5 linked regions of the Macaca fascicularis genome follow. The main gene of each other region encodes a partner of the protein of the gene in region 4 in a complex. Links are inferred from orthologs where the notes say so. Each region holds a gene or a part of one and is shown on either strand. Other genes may lie near its edges.

What was found.
Region 1: FLCN (region 4) and LAMTOR3 share a complex: the UniProt entries of both Homo sapiens proteins name them as parts of the lysosomal folliculin complex. The link is inferred for Macaca fascicularis from reciprocal best matches to the Homo sapiens genes FLCN and LAMTOR3.
Region 2: FLCN (region 4) and LAMTOR4 share a complex: the UniProt entries of both Homo sapiens proteins name them as parts of the lysosomal folliculin complex. The link is inferred for Macaca fascicularis from reciprocal best matches to the Homo sapiens genes FLCN and LAMTOR4.
Region 3: FLCN (region 4) and LAMTOR1 share a complex: the UniProt entries of both Homo sapiens proteins name them as parts of the lysosomal folliculin complex. The link is inferred for Macaca fascicularis from reciprocal best matches to the Homo sapiens genes FLCN and LAMTOR1.
Region 5: FLCN (region 4) and FNIP1 share a complex: the UniProt entries of both Homo sapiens proteins name them as parts of the lysosomal folliculin complex. The link is inferred for Macaca fascicularis from reciprocal best matches to the Homo sapiens genes FLCN and FNIP1.

What each region holds. Positions count from the first base shown.
Region 1 is NC_088379.1:105,533,770-105,537,952, forward strand, and holds the start of LAMTOR3 (ragulator complex protein LAMTOR3), read right to left. Parts: upstream 2,801-4,183; 5' UTR 2,656-2,800; intron 2,378-2,655; 5' UTR 2,341-2,377; coding exon of another isoform or gene 2,332-2,340; intron 2,016-2,331; 5' UTR 1,999-2,015; coding exon 1,975-1,998; intron 386-1,974; coding exon 351-385; intron 1-350. UniProt on the Homo sapiens protein: As part of the Ragulator complex it is involved in amino acid sensing and activation of mTORC1, a signaling complex promoting cell growth in response to growth factors, energy levels, and amino acids.
Region 2 is NC_088377.1:48,815,800-48,819,842, reverse strand, and holds the start of LAMTOR4 (ragulator complex protein LAMTOR4), read right to left. Parts: upstream 2,802-4,043; 5' UTR 2,728-2,801; coding exon 2,725-2,727; intron 2,205-2,724; coding exon 2,124-2,204; intron 1-2,123. UniProt on the Homo sapiens protein: As part of the Ragulator complex it is involved in amino acid sensing and activation of mTORC1, a signaling complex promoting cell growth in response to growth factors, energy levels, and amino acids.
Region 3 is NC_088388.1:70,863,870-70,868,038, reverse strand, and holds the start of LAMTOR1 (ragulator complex protein LAMTOR1), read left to right. Parts: upstream 1-1,364; 5' UTR 1,365-1,493; coding exon 1,494-1,535; intron 1,536-4,169. UniProt on the Homo sapiens protein: Key component of the Ragulator complex, a multiprotein complex involved in amino acid sensing and activation of mTORC1, a signaling complex promoting cell growth in response to growth factors, energy levels, and amino acids.
Region 4 is NC_088390.1:17,332,811-17,336,938, forward strand, and holds the start of FLCN (folliculin), read right to left. Parts: upstream 2,804-4,128; 5' UTR 2,760-2,803; exon of another isoform or gene 2,525-2,759; intron 2,260-2,524; exon of another isoform or gene 2,056-2,259; intron 1-2,055. UniProt on the Homo sapiens protein: Multi-functional protein, involved in both the cellular response to amino acid availability and in the regulation of glycolysis.
Region 5 is NC_088380.1:138,333,935-138,338,104, reverse strand, and holds the start of FNIP1 (folliculin-interacting protein 1), read left to right. Parts: upstream 1-1,370; 5' UTR 1,371-1,466; coding exon 1,467-1,558; intron 1,559-1,804; exon of another isoform or gene 1,805-1,934; intron 1,935-1,940; exon of another isoform or gene 1,941-2,074; intron 2,075-2,673; exon of another isoform or gene 2,674-2,784; intron 2,785-4,170. UniProt on the Homo sapiens protein: Binding partner of the GTPase-activating protein FLCN: involved in the cellular response to amino acid availability by regulating the non-canonical mTORC1 signaling cascade controlling the MiT/TFE factors TFEB and TFE3.

The sequences.
Region 1 (4,183 bases), on a different chromosome or scaffold from region 4:
TAAAAAGAGGAAACTGGCCGACAAAGATGAAATACAGCAAAGAAATGAAAAGTAATAATGCTGGAAGTGAATTTCAAATAAAGAGTTATAGAAGAAACAGGTGACCAAGGGAATGCTGACACTATCCCTCTAGATACACAGAGAACTCAGTGAAGGCAAACTTATTGACATAAATGAGGAAAGCGGTTGTGACGAAAATTTTCCAGAGGACATGATGCTGGCAAAAAATATTCATATTAAAGGAAATCTCAGAGATACTTCAAAACATTGAAAATACACAGACAAAATACTTCATAAAATTAACATATGGCATATAGAATTTATTCAGTAACAAATTAAAAATTTCTTACCTTGGTAACTTTTTATACAAGAATCGCTTTAGGTCCTGAAAGAGAATATTAAAAAATCATGTTATAATAATAGGCCTTCCACTGTTTTCTAGATCCTGTCCTATCCAAATTTTAGGGACGTTCAGTTATCATTCATAACCTTTCTTGCTGTGTTTTATCTTTCTCTGTCTGATTTGGATGTTTACTAGTCATGCAACTTGGAGTAAGTTAACTAACCTTTTTTCCCTAAGCCTATTTCATTATTTGTTGAATAGGGCTAATATAGAACCTACATCATAAGAGTGCTGTTAAAGTTTTTTGAGAAGTTGCATGGATTAGCATACCTAGAAATGGGAAACACAAATACATTTTAGCCATAAAAATATATCATAATTTTCATACTAGTGTTTTATATCCTGTTGCTATTGTGTTCACTTGAGAAGACATTATAAACACCTTTCCAGGTTCAAAGATAGACTTTCCACCATCATTTTAATGGTCTTGGGTAAGGTGATATGACTTCTGTAAGACTGTTGTCTCACATTATAAAAATATGCCTTCCATTGTTTCATTATTTGTTGAACTCACCTACTCAACAAATAATGAAACAGTGTAAGGCATATTATTATAACATAATTATTAAAATATTCTGTTTAAGGACCTAAAATAAATTATATATGACTATGTGAGGCAACAGTCTTTTTTTTTGTTTTTGAGAGGGAGTTTTGCTCTTGCTGTCCAGGCTGGAGTGCAATGGCGCAATCTCGGCTCACTGCAACCTCTGCTTCCCAGGTTCAAGCGATTCTCCTGCCTCAACCTCCGAGTAACTGGCATTATAAGCACCCACCACCACGTCCCAGCTTATTTTTTGTATTTTTAGTAGAGATATGGTTTCACCATGTAGGCCAGGCTGGTCTCGAACTCCTGACCTCAGGTGATCCACCCGCCTTGGCTTCCCAAAGTGCTGGGATTACAGACGTGAGCCACCACGCCCAGCCCAGACTTACAGAATATAAGATAAATGGCGAAGTGTGTCAAGTGTTTAACACTAAACACAGTTAAGACTAAAGAAATATAAGACTATTTTATTTTTCTAAGCTGGGGCTCACTGCAACTTCCAAGTTCTGGGCTCAAGCAATCCTTCCGCCTCACTTCCAGCATAGCTGGGACTACAGGGTTATCAATGCGCCTGGTTTTTAAATTTCTTTTTGTATAACGGGGTCTTGCTACGTTGCCCAGGCTGATCTTGAACTCCCAGCCTCAAGTGATCCTTCCATCTCGGCATCCCAAAATGCTGAGATTACAGACGAAGCCACCTCACCGGCCAGAAGATTATCTTATTTTGTCTCATTACACTCTCTCATCCCAGGAATTTCACTGACACTTGAGGTATCAATTTTGACCTCGCATGGATTAATCAGATATCTGTTGTTTTGAGCCTCCAACACTTACTATTCTCCAAACCCGAATGATCATTTTATTTCATGTTATGACTATTGGCTTATTTTTGCTCTCATCCTACACACACACACACACACACACACACACCCCTCATTTTATTTCATGTTATGTTTCTAAAGAGGCATGGGTTAGAAATCATCGTAAATTGCCACAATAAACCTAATAAGATATTGTTACCACTTACTGGAAAAAAGTATTCTGGGTACATGTCCTACTGACCAAATTCTGACAGGAAAAGCAGCGAACCATCATTCAGAATTTCAAATGGTAAATACACAGAGCCTCTCTTATACCCCAGCTGGATTGGTGAGTAGGGAGAATATAATTTTCTCAGTCTCAAGCACCTTAGTGTCCTCCACCCCCATTCGAGGCAGAAACTCAGGATCCTGCAAATTCATTCATATTAGTCTCCCATTTCACATACAAGAGAAAATAATTAACTGGGATGGGTGGGGATGGGAGGATCTTCTACCTCTCCCCGCTCAGTATTCCCCTCCAAATTCCCCACTCTCCCTTCCTCTTATGTGGGGGTGTCACTCACATCCGCCATGATGAACCCCTTTCTCTCGCAGGATCAATCTCCACGCCTGGAAGAGAAACTCCCGGTGACTCTTACCTCTTTGGCTTCCTCGTCCTCCCCACCCCCAACTTAATAAGCAAGATCAGCCCTGGTCAGAACCCGGCAAAACCCCCGCGGTTCTAGGGCTTGGCCCAGCGAGCCCAGTGGGAGTCGGAGTGCCCCAACACCCCCACGGGTACTCAGCTGGCACGCCTTGCCTCAGCCCACCCCATCCCTGCCCCTCCACCCCAAAGAGCTAGGCCCAAAGAAAAGAAGAGGGGGCCCTCTCCTTCTGTTTAGTCTCACCACCCGCGCCACCTCCGGGACTAGGCCTCAAACCAGGCAAAGTAGCGCCAGTTACCTGGGGTTTCTGGGTTGCCTGGTTCTCTCCGTTGTCACTTCAGGGACAGCTTTAAAGACAGGTTCCTCCTCAAGCCACCGTCACATGATTGATGACCTCTTCGGCGCTCCGGGAAGCACTTTCTACGCCGTCGCCCCACGATACTGGATTTCCGGAAGGGCCTGGCGGAAGCTTCGAGGGCGCGGCCGCCCGACGCGCCCCGCCCCTCCCCCGCCCACCGCGGGCCGCGTCTTGCGCCTGCGCCTTGTGTCACGGGCCGAGGGACGTCAGCTGTGGGGTAGAGGATTTGTACGAGATCGCTGGACCCCGAGGACCCCAGAAAATGCAAGCAAGGTTATGTGTTACAAGACATTCTTGTGCAGAGAGGGTGTATAAATGTCATTAGTTTTTCAGGGTCCGTTATCTTAAAACCTTTTCTTGTAGATGAAGAAATTTGAGGGGATGGTGTGATGAGCTGAAGAGCAAGCAACAGATTGCCTGTGATTGGAAGTATCAGGTCCACAGGTTTCTGACTTGTTTCCTAGGTTCTTGTGACTTCCCCATGGGTGCTCTTTACTCAAGGCCTTATCTAGATTGAATGGGGAGGAGCCATGGGTTTTCTGGAGCACTTCAAGCGTCTACTTTTAACATGCAGACACGGGATTACGGGTACTTTCTATGTTCCCTTTTACATCAGAATTTTAAAAAATTAGTAAGGTCTCATATAATAAATAATAATTGGAAAAAAAAAAAAAAAAAAAAAAAAAAAGCCTTGCCGGGTGCGGTGACTGACGCCTGTAATCCCAGCACTTTGGGAGTCCGAGGCGGGACGATCCTTTGAGCCCAGGAGTTCCACACCAGCCTGGCAAGATAGAACCCCATCTCTACTACTACTACTACTACTAATAATAATAACAACAATAAAGAATTAGCCTTACGTGGCGTGCGCCAGGTACTCCGGAAGCTGAGGCATGAGGATCCCTTCAGCCCAGGGTTTGAGGCTGCATTGAGTGGTGATCGCCCCACTGAACTCCAGCTTGAGTGACAGAGCGAGATGCTCAAAAGAAAAGCTTCTTTAGAAATCACATCCTCTTTCAGCTACCACCCTGTTTTTCCTCTACTCCCTTTCATAGCCAAATTTTCAGAAAATTTTAGCCTGGTTTTTAATTGCTGCTTGCATGTCACAAATCTAATCAGAGTTCTGTTGATTCTACCTCCTATCTTTGAAAACTAGTCACCTATCTATGTTCGTACCCTAGTGCAAGCCATGATCATCTCTCTCTTGACAATAACCTCCTATTCTTCTTACATTCTCTTTTGCCCTCCAGTCTCCATAGAGCAACAAAAATGATGTTCTAAAAACCCAAATCGGATCATTTAACTCCTTTCTTGAAAATCAACTTTATTGACTTAGGATAAAGTTCAATATCAGCATCATGGTTTATATATCGTTCTTATGGGGATCTGGCCCCTATATTGATTCTCTCACCTACC
Region 2 (4,043 bases), on a different chromosome or scaffold from region 4:
TGTTTCTTAAGGCATCATCACTCTTCCAGGCTTTAGAGTTCTAGCTAGAGAAGTATTTCTTTTATTACCTATTTCTAGTCATTAGCAAGATATACTGATTCCTCCTTTAAAATATCTTCTCCCAGCCAAGCACAGTAGCTCATACCTATAATCCCAGCACTTTGGGAGGCCAAGGCAGGAGGACTGATGGAGGCCAGGACTTCGAGACCAACCTGGGCAACATAGCAAGACCCCTGTCCCTATAAATTTTTTTTTTTTTAATGGCTGGGCGTGGTGGTGCTTGCCTATAGTTCTAGTTACTTGGGATGCTGAGGTGGGAGGATCGCTTGGGCCCAGGAGTTCAAGACTGCAATGAGATGTGATCACACTACTGCACTTCAGCCTGAGTGACAGCAAGACTCTGTCCTAAAAAAAAAAAAAAAAAAAGGGCCGGGCGCGGTGGCTCATGCCTGTAATCCCAGCACTTTGGGAGGCTGAGGTGGGCAGATCACAAGGTCAGGAGTTCGAGACCAGCCTGGCCAACATGGCAAAACCCCATCTCTACTAAAAATACAAAAATTAGCCGGGTGTGGTGGCATACGCCTGTAATCCTAGCTACTCAGGAGGCTTAGGCGGGAGAATCGCTTGAACCTGGGAGGCGGAGGTTGCCCTGAGCTGAGATCATGCCACTGCACTCCAGCCTGGGCCACAGAGCGAGACTCTGTCTCAAAAAACAACAAAAACAAAAACAAAACTCTTCTCTCCTTGCTCCTTCTTACTGCCACTTGCCCAGTCTCATCTCTTTTTTTTTTTTTTTTTTTTTGAGACGGAGTCTTGCTCTGTCACCCAGGCTGGAGTGCAGTGGTGCAATCTTGGCTAACTGCAACCTCCGCCTTTCTGGTTCACGCCATTCTCCCGCCTCAGCCTCCCGAGTAGCTGGCGCCCACCACCACGCCTGGCCAATTTTGTTTTTGTATTTTTAACAGAGACAGGGTTTCACCGTGTTGGCCAGGATGGTCTAGCTCTCCTGACCTCGTGATCCACTCGCCTTGGCCTCCCAAAATGCTGGGATTACTAAAGACCTGAGCCACCTATGCCTGGCCCAGTCTAATCTCTTAATGATGCCTCCTTCTGCCCATCTTCACATCACTAACAACAATATTGCTCAACCACCTCACTGGGTCTTGTTTCTGTTTAAAAAACCTTTCAAGCTGTATTACCTCCAAGAAGAATAAGTTCAAGTGTGTTAACCTGGCCTTGAAGATCCTTCACAATCAGATCCTCCCTGACCATATCTTCCTCTTCCCTCAAATCTTCCCAAATCTTTTCAGCACAGACTTACCATCAGTTTAGAAAGGTCAGTGCCACACACCTGCAAATATGTCCACCTCCCCACTGTAAATACTCTCCTTTAAGCTGGGCTGAATTCCTACCTCCAGGGAAGTTAGTTACCTTGTCATAACATGTTGAATTTTTAATATCCTGGATTCCTTCAATAGTCTTTTACCACCTGTATTGTTTTCAACACTTAACCTTAAGCTTTGTCTCTAGCTAAATCAAAAACATCTAGAGACCTAACACTATACAGTACTATGGAACAAAATACAAATGACTCTTTAAGAAATATCAAATAAAGGCCAGGGATGTTGGCTCACGCCTGTAATCCCAGCACTTTGGGAGGCTGAGGCAGGTGGATCACCTGAGGTCAGGAGTTTGAGACCAGCCTGGCTAACACGGTGAAACCCCGTTTCTACTAAAAATACAAAAAATTAGCCGAGCGTGGTGGCACATGCCTGTAATCCCAGCTACTCTGGAGGCTGAGGCAGGACAATCGCTTGAACCCCGGAGGCGGAGGTTGCAGTGAGCGGAGATCGCACCACTGCACTCCAGCTTGGGCAACAAGAATGAAACTCAGTTTCAAAAAGTGTAAATAAATAAATAAATAAATAAACCGCAACCGTTAGGAGACTAAGATTCCACAGACTGATTACTGAAAGTAATTGCAAAAACTGCAAATACTTTTGTACCAACCTAATAGATGCCAGACCGCAAACCAGGTAAAAGTCGAGAAAAGAAGGGCCAATATTAGAAGGGGTTACCGGGCTGTGTGCACTAAGGGACCCCCTCCCTTTTCCAGAACGCACCGCCAGCACTGCACCTTCACTCAGTACCAGGTAGCCGAGCTGGTCTGGGATTCGCTCCAGCCCCTGGGTCAGTGCAGAAGTCTAGTGGGTAAAGATGCAAGTAGTGAGAAGCATGCTAGAGGGATGGATGGCCCCTGATACCCTTCACCTACAAACCCAAGTCTCTTGATTGGCGATGGCCCCAGGTTTTCTCATTCCCCAGCCAGGTCCTTTCCCGGCTCCCTTCCCCCTACATGGTCCTCAATACTGATCTTCCCGAGCCTCCATCTGCCCCCACTCTCGGCCCCCGGGCTCCCCTGGCCTTCCACGCTCCACCTATGCTACTCCGAGGGGACTTCGCTGCCCCACTGGCCCCTGCCCCCAGACCCTCTCTCCACCTCCCCGCCCCTGACCTGCAGACTACCCGCAGCCCCAGAACACCCTCCCACAGACCCCTCCCCAGCATTCCCGTCGCCATCCCTCCCATCTCCATCCCGTCTTCCTCCCCGAGCGGATAGGAGGTGAGGGTGGAGCGCAGACCCACGAGGGGGAAACCACACAGATTGGGGAGCAGAGACGCGGAACCCCCGGCGGGTCCTCCCGCGCATGCGTCCTCACTCACCATCGCAGTCTTCGGTGCTGGTGGAGCTCCCTACCAGATAGGTAGCTTCCGGCTTCAGGCCCCGGTCACGTGCTCGCACCCGGCGCGCTCCTCCTTCTGCTTGCTTCCCTACCCTTTAGCCGCGCCTCTAGCATGAGGATTGGATCGTGGCCACGTCGTCAGACCCAACCAGCCAGTGCGAAGCGCTCCTTCCCGGAGGCGCACGTTGATTGGTGATATCCCCTCTTTAACACCCATCTCTCCGCCTCTCAGTCAGTGCCTGAGCGAGAGGAGGCGGGAGTGCTTCCGCGGAGGGGACGGTGTGGGAGGGCCAGGAGTGGGACAGGGTTGACCGTGTGGCTCCGCGCGCGCTTTCTAGAGTCTGGGTTCCGCCTGAACCAGGATGCCCGCCAGTGTGACCTCCCAAACGAATGCCTTCCCAGGTTTAAGACTGGACCCAAAAAACGTGATAATAAAAGGAAATAACGTGCAATGCATGTAAAAAGCTATTCAAGGCTGGGCGCCCAACCTTCAAATGCTACTTTTATGCCTACTCAAGACCGCTCTTTGTTGAAGACAAGAATTTGTTCCCTTGGCCGGGCGCGGTGGCTCACAACTGTAATCCCAGAACTTTGGGAGGCCGAGGCGGGCGGATCACGAGGTCAGAAGATGGAAACCATCCTGGCTAACACAGTGAAACCCTGTCCCTACTAAAAAATACAAAAAATTAGCTAGGCGTGGTGGCGGGCGCCTGTAGTTCCAGCTATTCGGGAGGCTGAGGCAGGAGAATGGCGCGAACCTGGGAGGTGGAGCTTGCAGTGAGTCGAGATGACGCCACTGCACTCCAGCCTGGGAGACAGCGAGACTACATCTCAAAAAAAAAAAAAAAAAAAAAAAAAAAGATTTTGTTCCCAAAGTGGTTTTTTGTCTTCAGATTCAGTCTGGGACAATGTGATGGTGAATAGAATCACCAGCTAGCCAATGCAGATACAATACTGAATATTCTCTGCAGGAAAAAATTAGAAACAGTACCTTGGAATGATACACACACACACACATACATACATACATACATACATACATCACACAATGTAAACATTGGAAATTTTTGTTTTAAATAATTTCTAGACCTGTTGCCGTATTAATGTGGTGGAGGCAGTGTTAGTGAGTAATATGAAGAGTGATTCTAGAAGCCTGGGCAACATAGCAAGACCCCATCTCTAAAAATTTAAAAATTAACCAGGCATGATACCGCACATGTAGTCCCAGCTACCGGGGAGGCTGAGGTGGGAGAATTGCTTGAGCCCAGGAGTTTGAAGCTGCAGTGAGCCATGATCATG
Region 3 (4,169 bases), on a different chromosome or scaffold from region 4:
GGGTGAGCCAAGGTGATGGGGTGACTGTAATGTACTCATTGATACGCAAGTTTTTTGTAAGCAAGGCCATGCCTTGGGCCACAGGTAAGAGTCAGAACCTGTCATTGTGCTCTAGGAACTCCCAAGTTTGGTAGGTGAGACTGACCCAGGAACATAGAATATAGTGTGATCACTATTGGATGTTCCACGACTACAGGGACTTTGGCTGTTTTGTGAACTGATGCATATCCAGATATAACAGTGTGTGGCACATAGTAGATGCTCAGCAAATATTTGTTAATAGATGCATGAATTAACACTGGATGAGGATTAAGCATAGAGAGCTGGACATGTCCAGAGAATGGGGTCAGAGAAGGTAATCAGGAGGACATTGTACTGAGTCTCGAAGACAGTAGGCAGACCAGGCTGCATGTGCAAAGTCCAGTAGATCAATCAGGAAACATCATTTCTCTATGTCCAGTGAAACAGATTGCTCACCCCTCCACCCCCTCACCCCTCACCTCAGAACATGCAGTGGCAGAGAGGTGTCAGGCTCTGCGTGACTTTGATATGTCAGATGGGTAATGTGCCAAAACAAGATTTGAGGGTGGGCGCATTTCACACACGCGGAATCACACGCGCATGAACAACAAATGGATCACTATACAATTTTGGACGGACTTGGACCTGTGTTCAGGGCCCAAGGGAAGACATGGGGGAGGAGGGGCGTTTAGGAAAAGAGAACTGATGGTCAGCTTTGTGCGTTAGATTTACTATGGGTCCTGTTAAAAAAAAGGCAGAATTAAAGATAAAAGCCTGAAGGCAGAGAGGTCAGTGAGGTGACTTCTATCTCCTCCACCAGGATTTATCTCCGCTCCGCGTCAGCATGTGAAGGTAGTATAAGGTCCCTTCTTCCTGTAAGTCGCAGATCCCCAGCCCAGGTGCAGAATACACCCTCCGTGTATTCACCCCCAGCCCAGCTGGGCGATACACCCTCTGTTCCCCTACTGGGTACCGGTCATCTGGATCCTCTGTGTGTGCACCCAGGCTGTACGATCTAGGAGCGTCAGGCCTGGATCCCACTCGCCCCTCGCATGGCATTTAGAAGAGTATATCACGAGGGCATACAAGGGCATTTGGTACGAGTTCGCTCAATGGCCCAGAGAAGTGGCCTAGTGGCCACGAGAACGCATAACACTATTCACGACGGCCACTACTGCCAGTTTAGAGACTGGAAAGATGAAGTCATGTGATCCGCCCCTCCCTTTCCTCGCTTCACTTGCCTGCGTGTCCGGTTACGCCTTCCTATTGGTTGACAACGATCACGCGCTAGCGGGCGGGACCGGAAGCCGGGGTATTGCCTGAGGCGGCCCAGCGGCTCCGGGAGAAGGGATACTGGGGGTGGCGGCGGGTGGTTGCCTGCGGGAGGCAGTTGCGGGTCATGTGACCGGAAGGGCTCCTGACGGACGCCGTCCCTCCTCGGCGCGGCCTGAGCGCCCGGCCTGACCCCTGCCATGGGGTGCTGCTACAGCAGCGAGAACGAGGACTCGGACCAGGTGCGGCCGCGGCAGGCGGGGCTCGGGAATGAGGGCTAAGACCCTGGGGCTTGGGGCCCCAGAAAGAAATCTGCGGAGAACGGGCCAGGACTGCAGGGCTCGATGAATACGGAGGCCTGGAGGGGACAGATTACACAGGAGACGCCAAGCCGGACTCCTACCCCAGTTAAAGCCCCAGCTTTCTACGCGGTCCCCGCCTCGGGGTGTACAGGCAGCCGCCTGTCCGGCTCGCTCCCACCACTTCCGTTTGCTCCTACCTTCAAAACTTTCCAGATTCAAGGATCCTCAGTCTAGGTCCCCGGGAAATACTCCCTTCCCAGCTTCCTGTCTTCTCTGTATTAGTGGGCTTTGCGAATCCATTGCAGGGGTGGGTAAGCTGAGGCCCTGAGTTAGGCTGTCCTGCGATGAATCAGGAATTCATGTATCGTCTTAGTCCCTGGGGTTGCAGAAGGAAGGTCGCTGCTAGTTTAGGGCCAGAGGACGATTCTGGAAGTTGGTGGCCTTTGAGTTGGCCAATGAAGGATTTAATGGATACAGTGAGGACATCGGGACATGGGGGAAATTGTCTGGGAAGCAACAAAGAGGGTTTAGCTTTGACTAGATTGTGGTAAAAGAGAAATGGAGCGGGAAGTTCATTTGGGTCTGAGTTTGGCTTGCCTCAGTGCAGTCTGCCTGGGGCCTGAGGGTTCCTTTAGCTGGAGACATGCCTGTTCTGAGAATTTGGCTGTAGATCTGATCCCTCTGACGAAAGGCTTAGGCTGGGGAGACCTGTACAGTTTTAAATTCTCCCTCTTCCTCTTAGTGCATTCTCACTTCTCTCCACATTCTAATCCCTGCCCCGCCTGGCCTGACATTCAAGGATGAAGTCACAAGTTGCTGTCCACTCTTTTTTGATCGTCTCTAACCCTGGATTCTACATTTGAACATATAGTAGACCTGAGAAAGTAGAAAGGTTTCAAGTAGCTCACAGTCTAATAGGGGAGATGGTCACAAAAATAGATTATATCACTGGTACTTGGGAAGTAGTTATTTCTTCAGTGAACGTATTTTGGATTAAGGGCTTAAGCTTAGGAAAATGTCATTTGTGGCCGGGCGCGGTGGCTCAAGCCTGTAATCCCAGCACTTTGGGAGGCCGAGACGGGTGGATCATGAGGTCAGGAGATCGAGACCATCCTGGCTAACACGGTGAAACCCCGTCTCTACTAAAACAGGCAAAAAAAAACTAGCTGGGTGAGGTGGCGGGCGCCTGTAGTCCCAGCTACTCGGGAGGCTGAGGCAGGAGAATGGCGTGGACCCGGGAGGCAGAGCTTGCAGTGAGCTGAGATCCGGCCACTGCACTCCAGCCTGGGAGACAGTGAGACTCCGTCTCAAAAAAAAAAAAAAAAGAAAATGTCATTTTTATGGGAAGCAAGGGTCGCTTCTGGTTCTCAATTCTTCATACACCCAATGAACACATATTTCCTTTGCTCTGTGTTAGGCATGTGTCATGCCTAATACCTCTCACTTCACCTCCACCTTTTTGAGAAAGAGACAACAATAACCCTGCCTACTGGGAGAGCTGTGGCCTAGTGGGAAATTGTCCCTTAAAGCATAATGTGGACTCTTGCAGGGAATGAGTCAAGAAGGATTAATGCCTTATGAGAAAGGATACCAGCTTCTACTTGGAAGGGAGAGCTGGGCCTGCTGCTCTCCTGAATCTCTACCTTCTCCTTGGTGGGCTCTCCTTTCTGTTCCTAACACCCAGAGAAGATGTTTAATCACTGCTGGGTGATTTGAGGCCTCACGTAGCAAGAGCCGTAACCATCCACCTCCCAGAGTCCCTCTTTCAGTTCTTGGGCAGGCTCCTCTCCCACTCTCATCTCTGTCTCTTTATCACAATAAAAAATGTACAACACATTACAGTTTACAAAGGGCCGTGATAGTTATCTAATTTGACTCTTGCCAGACATCTGTCATATTAGTGTGGGTTATGTCTATTTAAAGGTGAGGAAAAAGTTCAGAGAAGCTAAGTGATTTGGCCAAGCTGGGAAGTGCTAATGCCCGGGTGTTCTGATGCCAAGCCATGTACTTTATCCATGGGGCCAAGCAGTCTCATCTATGCCCCTAGACCAGGTGGCCAGTCATGGGCAGGGTGCTATGTCTGTGCTAAGGTAGACAGTGAAACCCTGCCTCTTGGGTTACACTGACGCAGAGACAAACCTTGATGTGACAAACCTAACCCATGCTCCACTCGCACTTCGGGAGTGGGGTGATACTTGTCTACTCTGAAGGGGGTAGCATGGCCTCTTCTTTAAGTCTAGGTTTCAAGAAAACAACCTTGTTCCTCCCTTGATCTTAGCTGAAGGCTGAGAAGTGATCAGCCAGCCTTCTTCTTGAAGAACCCCTGATAGGGAAGAGACTACCCTGTCCTGCAGGAAGATCTGTCTGAAGTGGAGCTGGGAGAAGGACAGACACATAGGAAGCTAACTTGGGCCTCATTATGGAGCCAGCTTTCCTTAGAAATACATAGTTTTATCTTTGGCAAACATTTTGTCTTTTTAGCTCTTTAATGCTGAGCCTGTGTTTTAGGGAGGAAGGGTGTCTGGGAGTTTACAGAGGTGATGGGGCAAAGCCCACAGCTTCTGTCTTTTGCTG
Region 4 (4,128 bases):
GCCATAGGCCTGGCAGTTTCCTTCTCAAGCAGGAGAGGGAAACCAGAGGCAATGTTGACAAGCCACTTCCCAGCATTCAGCACCAACATGGGCTATTCTTTTTTATTTTTTATTTTTGTGGCAGGGTCTCATTCTGTTGCCTAGGCTACAGTACAGTGCTGTAATCTCGGATCACTGCCACCTACGCCTCCCAGGTTCAAGCGATTCTCCTGCCTCAGCTTCCCGAGTAGCTGGAATTAGAGCCACGCGCCACCAGGCCCAGCCAATTTTTGTATTTTTAGTAGAGATGGGGTTTCGCCATGTTGGCCAGGCTGGTCTTGAACTCCTGACCTCAGGTAATTCTCCCGCCTCAGCCTCCCAAAGTGCTGGGATTACAGGCGTGAGCCACCATGTCAGGTCAAAACATAGGCTACTCTTATTCGTTTTTCCTTTTAATGAAAAGCACTCGCTAGGCTCGGTGGTTTAAGCCTGTAATCCAAGCACTTTGGGAGGCCAATGGGGGGATCACCTGAGGTCAGGAGTTCGTGACCAGCCAGGTCAACATGGTGAAACCCTGTATCTACTAAAAATACAAAAATTGCCGGGTGCGGCGGCTCATGCTTGTAAACCCAGCATTTTGGGAGGCCAAGGCAGGCAGACCATGAGGTCAGGAGTTCGAGACCAGCCTGGCCAACATGCTGAAACCCCATCTCTACTAGAAATACAGAAATTTGCCAGGCATGGTGGTGGGTGCCTGTAATCCCAGCTACTTGGGAGGCTGAGGTAGGAGAACTGCTTGAACCTGGGAGACGGAGGTTGTAGTGAGCCAAGATCGCACCACTGCACTCCAGCCTGGGCAACAAGAGCAAAACTCCATTTCAAAAAATACAAAATACAAAATATAAAAATTAGCCAGGCCTTGTGGCGCATGCCTATAGTGCCAGTTACTCAGGAGGCTGAGGCAGGAGAATCGCTTGAACTTGGAAGCAGAGGTGGCAGTGAGCCGAGATCGCACCACCGCACTCCAGCCTGCGTGACAGAGTGAGATTCTGTCTCAAAAAAAAAAAAAGAAAAAGAAAAAAGCACTTGTCAGACAAGAGCTCCGACTCTGACTCCATGGATCACGCACGCCAGAGACCCAGGCAGCCCCTGAAAGAGAGGGAGATGCCCTAGAGAACATTTAGCTTTGCGGTCACTGGGGCCTACCCTCACCAGCCAGGTGACACCAAATGTTACTAGACCTCTCTGAATACCACCCAAGAGCTGAGAAACAGACGCCTCTCAAGATTTGCATTACACATGGAATCAGAATTCTGGGCAGCGTGAGGTCATTCTTTACTCACTGGTCAATCCCAATCTCTAGGAGGTGTTTGCTTAAGAAAACAAACTGATTTGAATATGTCTCACGAGTCTGTTTCCAGCAAGCTTTCCAGAACCCACAGGGGAAGCCGAAATCCCCTGGGTGACAGTCTCTTCATCATCACACCCAAAGACAGTATTCAAATTCCCTGATGTGGTAGAGTGTCTGTCCATGTCCTCCTCCCACAATAGCTGAGTCCCAGACCTGGACAGTGACCTCACCACCACCCGTGGTGCGCCCTGACCCTGGCCCATTTCACCCCTACTTCCTATGCTCTTCTCATAGCACCGCGGAGAATTAGAGGCCACTAAGTAAGGGCACTGTAGATAAACAAGGCACTATAACGGATCTTAACCAGCAGTGGACACACAGCTTCTAAAACTAGTCTCCCACTGGGGAGCCTCATTAAGTCAGCAGCTGGGATCCCAACAAGCCCAGGGTGAAAAGTTCTGCAGGGGATGACTGCCAGCTCAGACCCACTCTCACTGTGGCTCTATTTCCACCGTTTCCCTGGATTTCCATTCACAGAGCTCCCTGACATAGGACACTAGAAGGGCAAACAGTGTCACCTGCCACTATTACTCAATTACTTGATGACCACGGTGATAATCTGGCACTAAACTGGTTGTGGCCAAAGCCTGGAGAGCCAGAACCTACTTCCAGCAAGTTCCTCCTTGCCCTGCGTCCCCATTTGAAGAGACTGCTGCTAACCACACCTTGGACGTCAATCCACAAGCCAATCCATTCTTTCCAGGTGACAAGGACGCATCTGACAGTACTCTCCACTGGAGAGAAGCGCGGTCTTCCACCCTCCCTGGAGGACACGGTGCTACCCTATTAGCTTATCAGAGGACCCTCCTGAACGCCAAACTGAGAGAAGAGGAAATCACACACCCTCTCCTCCAGAACGAAGACAAAACCTGGGAGAAGGAAAAGGAAACAGTCCCGTTTCATGGCAAGATCAAATGAGACTAAATCAACGACCCTAACCCGGGGTTTGAACCCAGGTCACAGTCCTCATCCCCAGAAACTTGGTTAATGGGCGTGCCCCCAACCTATCTTCAAATCTCAGGGTCTCGGCGACGCCCTGGACTCTGGCCCTAAACCCTCCCCCATTACTGGTCCACCTGGGACCAACGCAAACTCGGACATGCCCCTCCGCCAAACCCTCAGACCCCCGCCGACCTGCTCCCCGAATCGAGGCCCGCGGGACACCTGGACTCGGCAGCCGGGGTCCCGCTCCGGGTCTCAGCCCCGCCCCTGACTGCGCTGGGTAGGTGGTCGCTGCGGGTCCCAGACAGGCGGGATCACACACAGAGCCCCCGAGCCCACGGCCGGAACGTCAGCCGGGGTGGCGAGGCTCTCAAGCCCCGGTTCGGGCTCTCGGGGAGCTGGCAGAACCAAGAGTTACCACACTCACTCGCGGCCCCACATCCCCGCCGAGACCCTGGCGCGTGACTCTCTGGGCCGTAACACCACCCAGCCCTGCGGTGGGGGTGCAGGCGCCGTCCGAGCGCGTCCTCCACCGCGAGGAGAGCCGAGCCTCGCCAGCTCCCGCAAGCCCAGGAACACAGTCCGAGTACCGCAACTCCGAGGTCTGACGGGGAAGCAGGGGCCGCTGCCCGACAACTACCCTTTTCCGCCGCCCCTATTCCGGTGCCCCCCTCGGGGAAGTTCCCAATGGTTCAGACCGCACCGGCTGGGGATGCTGGGGGAAACCATTTCCTTAAGCGCGGGAGTATGCTGAAACTTAAAAAGCATTTCGAAAAGAGATTTGAGGGTAAATATAATCAACGTAAGGCTCCCTGTCCACATAAAAGAGAAAAATAAAGAAAAAACGTTATAAGGGGTTGTCAGGCCTTTTTTTTTTTTTTTGCTTCACCAATGGTTTTTATTACATTGCTGATGGAACCCGGCCTCTCCCTATATTGAGAGTATGGAAGGTGCGGGCGACAGCCGTCACGTGATGCGGGGAAGGCGCGGCGCCCGGGGGAGGTTGGTTGCGGAACTCGGGATCGGTGTGCGCGCGCATGTTTGGTATTCGGTCTTCCTCCCTCAGTACGTCTTTCTTAAAAATGTGAAAATCAGTTATTGAATAATATTCTTCTTTTGAGACGGAGTTTCGCTCTTGTTGCCTAGGCTGGAGTGCAGCGGGGCGACCTCGCCTCACTGCAACCTCCGCCTCCCGGGTTCAAGCGATTCTCCTGCTTCAGCCTCCCGAGTAGCTGGCGTTACAGGCGTCCGCCACCATGCCCGGCTAATTTTTTTGTATTTTTTGCAGAGACGAGGTTTCACCCTGTTGGCCAGGCTGGTCTTGAACCCCTCACCTCAGGTGATCCACCCGCCTCGGCCTCCCAAAGTGCTGGGATTGCAGGCTTAAGCCACCACGCCCGGCCTGAATAATATTTTTTAAAACTTGAGCGCCTATTACTAAATTTATCTACTTAGAAGTTAATTGGAAAGACATTAGTTCGTGATGTAGTGTGGGTCGTTCCAGCGAAGACCGGAGGGAGATGGGAATCGGAGCCTGACCCGCCTGCGCGCGCTGTCCCCTGGGATGCGGCCGCCTGGGAGCCTTCCACCGCGGCAGAGGCTGTGGTTGCCACAAGGTCTCCAGAGTGTGCTTACCAGGAATACAGTAGAAAAATGGGTGGTTGTGTTTTTGAAATCACAGAGGTCACTTTTTTTCCTTTTAAATTTCCTTGTTTTGGCCGGGAGCGGTGGCTCACGCCTGTAATCCCAACACTTTGGGAGGCCGAGGTGTGCGGGTCACGAGGTCAACACGAGGT
Region 5 (4,170 bases), on a different chromosome or scaffold from region 4:
CCCAAAGTGCTGGGATTACAGGCGTGAGCCACAGCGCCCGGCCACACCTGGCTAATTAAAAAAATTTTTTTGTAGAGATGGGGTCTTACTGTTGACCAAGCTGGTCTGGAACTACTGAGCTCAAGCGATCTGCTTGCCTCTGCCTTGCAGTATTGGGATTACAGACGTGAGCTACCACGCCTGCCCAAAGTATTTTTATCCAGCCTTCCAACCATATACAAGTTATTTCCTAAATTTCTCTGAGGATTGCATCCCATTGTACAAGCTTCGTTATCCTGGAGGGGGAGTGAGTGAATGGATGGGGGTGCTGAAAATTTATAAGATTAGTTTGCTCCAAACTCTGGTATATTTTGGTTCCATGGGTTAAATAAGACTGTGAGGTCACATGTGAGCAACGTTTTTCTTTTTTTAGAAAGCGTTTCTTCCCTGTAACTTGGTTAAAATTCCACAGTTCCTCCCTTCTTCACACCTAACCATTAAGATAGATTAAAAATCTAAATAATTAGCGTAAAAGTTTAGATATCTGTACATACATGTCTTTAGGCTTCCTGACTTCGTTGGTTTCACCTGATTTTGTTGGTTACCAAGGAAACAGCCTAACTCCTGAGCCTCCAATCGCTAGCTCTTCCACGAGACTAATTCCTGATGTCAGGGTTTGAGGCACTAGTACAAACTCTGCCCGCAGTCCCTGCCCGAGGTCGTCTTTGCGGGGAGCCATGGCTGTGGCAGGGGTCCCGGCAGGTTCCTCCACCAGTCCCTGTGAGCCAGCCCCCGCGCTGTCCAGATCCCAGACCTCTCGCGGGCCGGAGCGGCCTTCTAAGGGCGGGCCTGGGGTCCTGGGCTCAAAGTCCAGCCTTGGCCGAGGCCCCACGGGTACGCTCGTGCGCCTTCCGTGCTCCAGGGGCCGCCAGACTCTCCCCGGCGCGGAATGGAGGTGTGAAGCCGCAGAAGCTAAGGAGGGGCTGACAAGGGAGAATAGGTTGCCCATGGTTCCCTACGCAACTCTGTGGGTGCGGGGAGTCGAAGGCTTCTGCACTCCAAGGCTCCTGGCATCGTCCCCGCGCCACCCTGGCGCAGCCTCTGATGGTAGCCGACAGCCTCACAGAGGAGGATCGAGACTGAGCCTACTCCCCCTACACATCCCTAGCCACCTTCCAGTCTTGTCCTCTCGGCACACGCCCCGCCCCGTGAGCTGCCACGTGACGGGAAACGCCAGTGCGCCTAATGGAGGTAGCTCCACCCCACGCCCCCGCCTTGCCCCTGCTCCGCGCGCCGCCACGTGATGCGGCCCACCTCCAGCCAATGAGCGCCGGCCTTGCCTCGCGCCCCGCCCCGCGCGCCGTGGCCGTTTGAAGTGACTAATTTCTGTCATATGACTGAGGCGCCCATGGGGGTGGCGGGGCGGCTCTAGGAGCAGGGGCCTACCAAGCGCCCAGCGGAGCGACCCCTGCCTGGCCGTGGGGAGCATGGCCCCTACGCTGTTCCAGAAGCTCTTCAGCAAGAAGACCGGGCTGGGCGCGCCCGGCCGCGACGCCCGGGATCCAGATTGCGGGTTCAGGTAGGGCGCTGTGGGGCGGGGGTCGCGGAGCCGATGGCCTTGTGGACTCTGGGCTCCAGGGGTGTTGGGGCCTTCGGTTTTCCGACCCAAGCGGAAGCGCCGCGCCGAGACCAGCATCTGGTCCTCGGTGGGGTGGAGCCGGCTGCTGGCTCGCGCTGAAGGGTTGGAGCGAGGTCCTACCTCTTCTCTTACCCCACCCGCCTCGCCGTTGCCCCTTCCCCCTTCTCCCGTCGGTTTGTTTACTACCTGACCCCAGCCACGCGCGACTCTGCTCCTCCGGATCTAGCACCGCGGCCTGAGACTTCGGGTCCACACGCCTTCCTGGCACCGAGTAGAGTTGGGCGCGGGCTGGATTGGACCTCAGCCGCCGTACTCCGGGCGGCGAAGTTCTCCCCTCCTCCCCGTGACCAGTTGTCCTCCGGGCGCTGCGTTCCAGCTCCGTTGGCGTTGTGGAGAGAGCGGCACGTTTGGCCAAGCTTCTGAGTTGAGAGAAGGCTGGAGGAGCAAGTAGGCAAGGTGCCGTTCTTTCAGGTTTCTTGGACGCTAAAATTGGAGGTGTGCGGTAACCGGACCGAGCGACCTTAATGTTATCGAAGGAGAAATGTGAAACTTGAGTTTAGAGTTACTACTGAAGCAAGACAACATTAAATGAAATCTGGCCTTGGAATTGGCCGTAGATTCTTCCTCTTTAGAACTGTTACTGAAAAGGAGTCTTAAAAATTGAAAATGTTAGCAGAGCATTTTGTGGTGGTACAGGCTTTGTTGATTTTTCGTTGTAGTACCTGTTGCTGGCAGAGTAGCTTTTCAGAATTGTAAGATTTGATATAAACCTGAATTCAAGGTGAAATTTAGTCGTTAAACCTGAGGAGATTATGTCCAAACAGCCTTTGTAAATATTGCAGTGTGGAAACTTGCAAATATAACTAGGCTAAATGTCAAATACCACACAAACTTGGTAGGATAGCAAAGAGCCCAGTTGTACAACAGTAGTAGAAACAACAAAAAAAGAGAGAATCTGTCAAATTTTGGAACAGGCAAAGTTGAAATGATTGTGCCACACTGGTTTAAGAAATTTTGCTATTCTTAAAATTATTCACTCTCTCTTGCTAATGCAGATCTCATCAGGAAACATTCAGTAAATGCATATGGAATTGAAGACATTTTTCTACGTATCTCTCTTTTCCCCTGAAAAATAAATGTGTCATGCTCATCTGTCTCTCTCTAAACATTTCTTTAGTGTTTTTCCTTTGAAAAATGAAAGTGCAGCTTAGATGATACTACATTGAGCCATCTACTAACTCAAGCGACAGTAGGAAACAGGTTTCGATAGGATATTTCAAAGGTGGCATTTGAATAGACAACTGCTTTCTATTTCTGGGCAAAGATTGACTTTGGGTACCTAGGTTTACAAGGGTCTCAAGTCGCTCATATGAAAAAACATTTTCACGTCTGTTTTTCAAAAATGTAAAGTCTACTATATAGTTGCGTAATACTATTTTACAGTTACCAAAGAACTTTCTCATCAGTTATCTTATTTGATGTTTCACAACAATCTTACGAGATAGAGCAAGTAGCAGTGCAGATAAGTATATATTTCTGCCAGTGGAAGTAAGAATTATCTGTAAGCCCAATAACTGCAGTACATTATAGAATTGTTCACTTTAAAAATAAAATGTGTGATTGTGAGCAATGAAAACTGATGAAACAGAATAGGCATATCTGAAGGAAAAAAAACCATTCTGGTTAATGTCACATAGCTAGTAACTTACAGATCTAATCAACCCAGGGTTTTTAAAAAACTATTTCATTGAGCTATAATTTATACACAATAAAGTATAATACATTTTAAGCATACATTGTATACAGTTGTATACCCACCACCTCTATGAAGTTTTAGAACACTTCCATTACCCAAAAAGTTCCCTCATGCTCTGTTGCAGCCTAACCCCTCCTCACCCAGGGCAGTCACTGATACTTTCTGTCATAATCTTGTGTCTGGCTTGTTTGTTGCTTTTATTAGTTCCCTCTTTTTTTTTTTTTTTTTTGAGACAGGGTCTCTGTCAACAGGCTGGAGTGTGGTGGCACGACCTCGCCTAAAGCACCGTCAATCTCCTAGGCTCAAGGGATCCTCTCACCTTGGCCTCCCAGAGTTCTGGCCTTACAGGGATGAGCTACCACACCCAGCTAGTTAATTCAATTTTATCACTGAATGGTATTCCATTGTATGGCTATACCATGATTTGTTTATTCACTCACTAGTTGGAGGACATTTGGTTTGTTTTTTTTTCCCAGATTTGGGCTATTATAAATAATGCTGCTGTTAATGTTTGTGTATAAGTCTTTATGTGGACATATATTTTCATTTCTCTTGGGTAGATACCTAGGAGTAGAGTTGCAGAGTCATATGCTAAGTGTTGTGTTTAACATAAAAAATTGTCAAACTTTTCCAAAATAGTTTTACCATTTTGTGTTCTCAGTAGCAATGCATGAAGATTACCGTTTCTTCACAATATCTTCAATATTGATACCGTTTTTTAATTAAAAATTTTTATTGTAAAAACCATATAAAATTTACTTTTTTTTTTTTTTTTTTTTGAGATAGGGTCTCACTT